2 linked regions of the Danio rerio genome follow. The protein of the gene in region 2 binds, or shares a complex with, the protein of the main gene of each other region. Links are inferred from orthologs where the notes say so. Each region holds a gene or a part of one and is shown on either strand. Other genes may lie near its edges.

Region 1 (4,183 bases), on a different chromosome or scaffold from region 2:
CGCTACCAGGGTCTTCATGGGACATGTTGTACACTAGAGGATCCACCTCACGAGGCAAATACCTTTAAAAAGAAGTGTTTAGAAATAAGTTTATTGTGTAAAATAAATAAATAAATAAAAATAAAAAGATCTGAACATTAAATGATGATCGTTTATGCCCAAAGAGCAGAGAGACTTACCTCATGATAGTGAGAGTTGTCATGTCCAGAGCCACTCTAGTGCCAGGCTTCAGCTTGGATTTATCCAGCTAAAAACAAGAAAATATGAGCACATAATGAGACATAGGTTTTTAAAAATCACACACATTATACTTATTATTATTGTCATCATTATCATTATTATTACCATCTTTATACAGCTTACTGTACCCAATTACAAAAACAAATCCACTTTAAACTAATGTATTTTATCAAACATGAGCATAACTTTTAGGCTGTTAATGATCCTTTCAGTCCTTACTGGACTGAAAACAACTCATGTCTCCCTGATTGTCCACTATTAAAACTAAATACATATTAATCGAAGAAGTAGACTGATAACATTTATATTTATTTAATGTAACTCTAATTAATCTGCTTTGCAGTTATACAAGATCTCATTCATCTAGATTAACAGTTTTTACATTCTCAAAGATTTTCCATCATACTTTTGACATTTAAAAATCAAAAGACTGCACCAAGCTGCATGGTATTTTTAGTTTAGACCTCCAACTTAAAAAAGCAAATCTCCTCAATTATGAGCTATATAAAACATACTTAAATATCAAACTGAAAAAAAAAACATCTAGGTTTTAATTAGCTTTACAAGCATCTCTCTACAAAATACTGTTGTGTTTATTTTGATACTTTCACATTTTAATTTTAGAAGCATTTGTCTTTTTTCTCAATATTAAGTTCAATAACAAACACAGGCTTCTTTTATTGAAAATATCATGAGTTCAAACATACAACAGTTCAGAACATAGTAAGTTATTGTAGTGTTATATTTAAGACACAAAATTGTATTTGTAAGTTTAGCCAATGAAAATATTAATCAACAGTTATATACTTGTATGTATGTATGTATGTATGTATGTATGTATGTATATACATACATACATAAAAGGCATTATTGGTAGACATAATAAAAGGCATTATTGGTAGACAAACTATTTTTGACATTTATCCACTTTGGTACTTTAAAAGAAAAAATAATTAAATTAAAAAACTAGTCTAAATTTGCATAGAAACCTTTCTAAAAATGAATTCACACCAGAATACTTTTAGAACAAAATTTTTAATTATTTATTAAATTATTATGGCTCAAATGATGATTTAAAGTGGTTCATTTAGGTCAGTATTTTACTTAATATTTTTACTTAAGGTAAATAAGTTAATATAGATCAGTATTTTTGCGTGAGAAGTGGCGTGCGCACATTTCCGCCCCTGTTTTGTGCGTCATCATATTTATAAACCAGATCAATCTTGACGAAACAGCAATATGATACAAAGGTTTTACACATACAAATAAACATGTCTCTTTGTTGACTGGACCTAAATGTTTAGTTTAATAAATTCTCTGTTGAGATTACTTTATTTCTTTCGTTCTAAAATTACTTTTACTCACACACACACACACACACACACACACACACACACACACACACACACACGTTTAGAATTGATATTACTTTTTTAATATTGAAAATTCTAATCTGCATATGGTTTTATCGCTGGATAAATAATGGATTTATCTGACCATCAATACAATAAACTACTATTGTAAAAGATTAACAAACATATAATAGCTGAACAGTTAATTTTTTGTGGATACAATTTAAAACGGTATTTTTCTATAATTTGACTGGAATTTTCAGCATCATTAGTGAAAACCTAATATGAGTGTAACAAAAAAGTAATTTTTTTCAAAACTTTTTACTGAAACTGTATGTGTGCGCGTATGCATGTACATGCTCACCTGTCTGCGACATCCAACCACATATCGTGGTCCATTAGTTGCTTTAACAATAACTGCAAAAGAAGAATACATTAAACAATGAACAGATAGACACAAACTATAATTATCTACAGCTCAATAAAGAGAATCTGGCCTTACATTTCTCCTCAGTCAGCTGTTTCAGCACTTCACCGACAATCTACAAAGACAATGCAACAATTTAAATAACGTTATAAATGCACTGATATAGTCAAATCCCTAATGTGGAAATAAGAAAAACAATGATTTACAGAGCAGATCTTACCTGCCCCACACTCTGTAAAGCCTTCAGGTCATTCTCAGACTTCTCATATTGTTTAGTGAGCTCCTTCAGCTGCTCTCTCACTGCAACACAGAGCGTTTATTTACATGTGCAAACATTAAGTTCAACTTCCATCAGCTTCATGTGTCAGAGATGCTAAATGTTATCGTGAGATAGCATGATACTGGAAAACAGCTGTATTGAAGGCTCTTTTTTTATAATATATGATGTTTTCAGATCGGGAGATACGTATAATCATGTTGTGTGTCTCTAATTATGAATTTAAAGGGGATCTATGGATTATTTCAGCTGTTACCATTAGCGGCTAATTGATTTCAGCACTGCATGACAAAGCGACTTACAGTACAGGCTGCTGAGATAACGCAAACAACAGCCTATGAAGATGTCAAACTGCTCAATGACAGTCTGACGTGAACAGAAAAACATCGAACTTACACTCTTTGAGGCGCCCGTCAATCTCTTTATGCTCCAGTAATTTCTTTCTGTAGTCTTGTAAACCTTTCTCCCTGTTTTCCGCCATGTTCACTGCCGCTTCGCTCTCGCGCTTCTTCGTGATGTTTAATAGTAGCGCGTCACAAACCAAACCGAGGCGCGTCAGCGCTCCCTGCTGGACGAACAGCGCGATACAGTGTTAATTTGAGGCGGCAAGCAGCTGATTTGTTTTTCAATGATTTATTTAAAAGGCTAATTTAAGGTGAGATACAACCCGAAAAACGACAATACAACACTTACTATGACAATCATCAGCACTTTAAATAGTTTATTTTACAGACATAATTTGCTGTTGTTCTATTGGAGTTTTTATTCCAAAATGGCCGCCGCGCCATCTAGTGGCTGTTTACCAAGTTGTACTAGAATGTCACCTCTGGGTGATTCTATGCTCTGTGGTTATACAAAGTTTTGCCAATTTAGCAAGTGTGTAGCTAGATTTAGCAACTCTTCATACTACCCTAGCAACTTTTTTTTTTTTTCGAAAAGCAACTAGCAACAAATGTAGCAATTTTTAACATTCATTTGTCTACTTTTAGCATTTTTTTAAACAGTGACTCAAAGGAGCAGTGGCTGCAGGCTTCACTCAGTAGAGTAAATTGCTAGCTCAGATTGTTTTTCATAACTGTTAATTTAAAGATATTTGTTAACATGTATGAATGTTGGTAATTTAGGTGGCAATAAAATGCAATAGTACTATAATTGTTGTCACTTTCACAAATGTGTTAATTTCACAAGTTAAAAAGAGTAAGTACACAAGCTGTGATTGTTTAAAAGAATGTAACTGTTCGCTATCAGTGTTATACAAAAAATAATAATTGTATTACTTTTGGTGACACAGTGGCGCAGTAGGTAGTGCTGTCGCCTCACAGCAAGAAGGTCACTGGTTCGAGCGTCGGCTGGGTCAGTTGGCGTTTCTGTGTGGAGTTTGCATGTTCTCCCTGTGTTCACGTGGGTGTCCTCCAGGTGCTCTGGTTTCACCTGCAGTCCAAAGACATGTTGTACAGGTGAATTGGGTACAGGCTAAATTTTCCATAGTGTATGAGTGTGTATGGTTGTTTCCCAGTGATGGGTTGTGGCTGAAAGGGCATACGCTGCATAAAAACATGCTGGATAAGCTGGCGGTTCATTCCACTGAGGTAACCCCAGATTAATAAAGGGACTAAGCCGAAAAGAAAATGAACGTATTACTTTTACAAATAGTCCATATTGTTGTTCCAAATGTAGTTTACTTTATTTTTCATAAACATCTAAATGGACATATTTCAAATAATGTTTTTGCTGAGATGGCCAGTCAATTTGAGAAAACATTAATTATTTTGTATACTATATAAAGTTGTTTGTTTTGAGTTGTTATTACGCAATGACATTATCATGCAAAGTGATATGTAAATAAGAATCTATTTATTGTGTATCTGGATGTAATGTTTTAATATA
Region 2 (3,951 bases):
TGCTAAATTTGACATCATGCTGCTTTGTTTACCGCAGTATTCAAGGCAAGACCATTATTTCTGCAGATCTGTAGGAGCCAACCTGCTGAATTTAGAAGATTTAATAGATTTGTATTCAGTATATGAATAATGTTTTAGTTTTGGATTAATTTCTTGCCTTAATATTTAATAAATAAGTTAAAATCTCGCCAGTGTTAAAAAGTAGTTATAAGATCTTAAAAGTATAGAAAAGTCTTAAAGGGTATTGAATTTCACTCTCAGATTCCTATATATATATATATATATATATATATATATATATATATATATATATATATATATATATATATATATATATATATATATATATATATACATACTCTGAAATGCAATTCTTTAAAGTTTTGAATGGTAAAAATTACATTATTCATGAAAAATTATCTATAAATGTATTAATATTATATATTAATGATGTTATAAATTAATCTCTTGTTAATTTAAATAGATTTCACTGTTTTGTGGGAAGTTTTTGTCATTTGAGACTAAAGTGTCAGGGTGAGATGATTGAATATAATATAATATTAATCTTATACACTTATTCATTCATTTTTCTTTGACTTAGTATCATTATTAAGCAGGAGTCGCTACAGCGGAATGAACCACCAACTTATCCAGTACATGTTTTACGCAGCGGATACCTTTCCAGCTGCAACCCATTACTGTCAAACACTGATATACTCTTGCATTTACACACATACACTACGGCCAATTTAGCTTATTATGCACCTATAGTGCATGTCTTTGGACTGTGGGCGGGGGAAACCGGAGGAAACCCACACCAACATGGGAAGAACATGCAAACTCCACACAGAAATGCCAACTGACCCAGCAGAGGCTCGAACCAGTGACCTTCTTGCCGTGAGGCGACTGTGCTAACCACTGAGCCACCGTGTCGCCATTCTTAAATATTATAACTTTTTTTTACTGCTATGTGGGGATCTTCAAGTCTTTGGCTAAGAAAGAATACAAGCGGCACACTCACAAAATAAAGTGTTTTCATGACGATTTACATGGTGAAGATCTGTAGAGAGAAAATAAGGATCTTCATCTGCACCCAATGACACAGCAGCTGCTGAATGACATGTTCCTCAGCCAATCAGATGTTGCCCTTTGTGGAACATGGCGAGCAGGAGACCGGAAGTCGCTTAGTTTCCACTTTTCACCAGTAAGTCTATCTGCAAATCTTCAGAGAACGAACCCTCAGGATCAAAAAACAAAACCTGCTGCTGAAATCAACGAAAGGCTAAACTCATCCAGCGGTATGAATTACTTTTAACTCGCTTTGTAAATATATGAATTATAGCGGCATGTTCTGTTCAAAGACGCACCAGAAACAAAACGCGCAGTCATGGTGGAGCTGGAGATATTGAAGCGGCTGCTAATGCTAACTAGTGTAGCGTTTCACAAGCCAGACAATAAAAAATTAGATAGGTTTTTAAACTTTAATATGAAACAATGTCAAATATACTATTATATTACATGTTAATTTAACATGCGTATATTTTCGCAAAAAGCAGGTCAATTGATGTTTCCTGAAGCTAACTAGAGTGCTAATAATTCTTGCTGACTGACTGTGTTGTTTCCAAAGATAAGCTCTAAGATTTTGAACAAAAGTATGTGTGTGTATATGGCTTCAGACGTTGTCTAAATGTGCTGTCATGTTGTAAACGTGTAACAGTTTGTGTTTTGTGCCCTTTAGTGAAGATGTCATCTGGAGCTCTGTTCCCCAGTCTGGTCTCTGGATCCCGCAGCTCATCCAGCAAGTATCTGGTTGAGTTCAGGGCTGGTAAAATGACCCTGAAGGGCAGCACTGTGACCCCAGACAAGCGCAAGGGCACCGTCTACATCCAGCAGACAGATGATTCACTCATTCATTTTTGCTGGAAGGACAGGACCTCTGGAAATGTGGAGGATGTGAGGCCTGTTTACAGTGAATGGTTGGTTGATAATGCTGAATATATCAGTACCTAAGTCTTGATTTTTGTGTTTTAGGATCTGATCATATTCCCGGATGACTGTGAGTTTAAACGGGTGAACCAGTGCACTACAGGACGTGTGTATGTACTGAAGTTCAAGGCTGGCTCTAAACGGCTGTTCTTTTGGATGCAGGTGAGTAAAATGTTGTGCGATGCTTGTTAACATGTTTCAGATGTGCTGAATACAATGCCATGCTTCCACCTGGAATTAAAAGGATGGTTCACGCAATTACGAGTGCTTCCAAACCTTTGTGAGTTTCTTTGTTCTGTTGAATACTAAAGAAGATATTTTGAAGAAAGCTGAAAACTTGTAACTGCTGACTGTTTCTGCTTGTAAATAATGAAAATGTATCACAATAACAGGTGTATATCTGCAAAAAAAAAATCTTTCTTAGTTTTTACTTTGTTTTTAATCTAATTACATAAAAATCCTTAAATCAAAGACGCAATTTCTAGACAATCAAAAAATGCATTCACCAGACACTTTATTATGTACACCTTACTAGTACCAGGTTGGACTCCCTTTTGCCTTCAGAACTGCCTTAATTCTTCATGGCATAGATTCAACAATGTACTGGAAATAATCGGCAGAGATTTTGGTCCATATTGACATGATAGCATAATGAAGTTGCTGCAGATTTGTCGGCTGCACATCTATGATGCGACTCTCCCATTCCACCACATGCCAAAGCCAAAGGTGCTCTATTGGACTGAGATCTGGTGACTGTGGAGGCCGTTTGAGTACAGTGAACTCATTGTGATGTTCAAGAAATCAATCTGAAAATGATTCACGCTTTATGACATGGAGTGTTATCCTGCTGGAAGTAGCCATCACAAGATGGGTACACTGTGGTCATAAAGGGATGGACATGGTCAGCAGCAATACTCGGGTTGGCTGTGGCATTGACACAATGCTCAATTGGTTCTAATGGGCCCAAAGTGTGTCACAAAAATATCCCCCACACTATTACAACACCAGCCTGGACCGTTGATACAAGACAGGATGGATTCATGCTTTTATGTTGCTGCCAAATTCTGACCCTACCATCCGAATGTTGCAGCAGAAATCAAAACTCATCATACCAGGCAACATTTTTCCAATCTGTTGTCCAGTTTGTGAATTGTTGCCTCAGTTTCCTGTTCTTAGCTAACAGGAGTGGCACCCGGTGTGGATTTCTGCTGCTGTAGCCCGTCCGCCTCAAGGTTGAACGTGTTGTGTGTTCACAGATGTTCAGAGTTCTGCATACCTCGGTTTTACCGAGAGGTTATTTCAGTTACTGTTGCCTTTCTATCAGCTCAAACCAGTCTGGCCATTCTCCTTTGACCGTTGGTATCAACAAGGCATTTGCACCGACAAACCAGTAAGACCCTCACTGGATATTTTCTCTTTTTCGGACCATTCTCTGTAAACCCTGAAAATGGTTATGCGTGAAAATCCTAGAAGATCCGCAGTTTCTGAAATACTCAGATTGTCCTGTCTGGCACCATCAACCATGCCATGTTCAAATTCACTTAAATCAGCTTTCTTCCCAATTCTGATGCTCTGTTTGAACTGCAGCAGATCGTCTTGACCATGGCTGCATCCGAAACTGCATACTTCCATACTATATAGTGCCCCATTATGCCCCGCGAGAGAGTTTATGAATGGGACTGAAGTGACGCAACCGACGCAGGTAGGTCATGTGACCATGACAGAATGGCGGATGTCGTACGTCCGAATTCCATTCATACTTTTCACATTAATACTGTATAGATCGTACTTTTCTAACGGCCGAGCAGTACGTTTAAATTTAAATGCAGTACCTACTTAGTAGTAGGCAGTTTCGGACACAGCCATTGTCTACATGCCTAAATGCATTGAGTTGCTGCAATGTGATTGGCTGATTAGAAATTGGCTTTAATGAGCAGTTGGACAGGTGTACCTAATAAAATAGCA

Evidence for each region.
Region 1: adrm1 (region 2) and psmc6 share a complex: the UniProt entries of both Homo sapiens proteins name them as parts of the 19S proteasome regulatory particle complex. The link is inferred for Danio rerio from reciprocal best matches to the Homo sapiens genes ADRM1 and PSMC6.

The regions. Positions count from the first base shown.
Region 1 is NC_133195.1:9,929,041-9,933,223, reverse strand, and holds the start of psmc6 (26S proteasome regulatory subunit 10B), read right to left. Parts: upstream 2,801-4,183; 5' UTR 2,778-2,800; coding exon 2,693-2,777; intron 2,320-2,692; coding exon 2,240-2,319; intron 2,135-2,239; coding exon 2,095-2,134; intron 2,010-2,094; coding exon 1,957-2,009; intron 248-1,956; coding exon 180-247; intron 63-179; coding exon 1-62. UniProt on the Homo sapiens protein: Component of the 26S proteasome, a multiprotein complex involved in the ATP-dependent degradation of ubiquitinated proteins.
Region 2 is NC_133198.1:9,689,884-9,693,834, forward strand, and holds the start of adrm1 (proteasomal ubiquitin receptor ADRM1), read left to right. Parts: upstream 1-1,151; 5' UTR 1,152-1,298; intron 1,299-1,738; 5' UTR 1,739-1,743; coding exon 1,744-1,953; intron 1,954-2,031; coding exon 2,032-2,148; intron 2,149-3,951. UniProt on the Homo sapiens protein: Component of the 26S proteasome, a multiprotein complex involved in the ATP-dependent degradation of ubiquitinated proteins.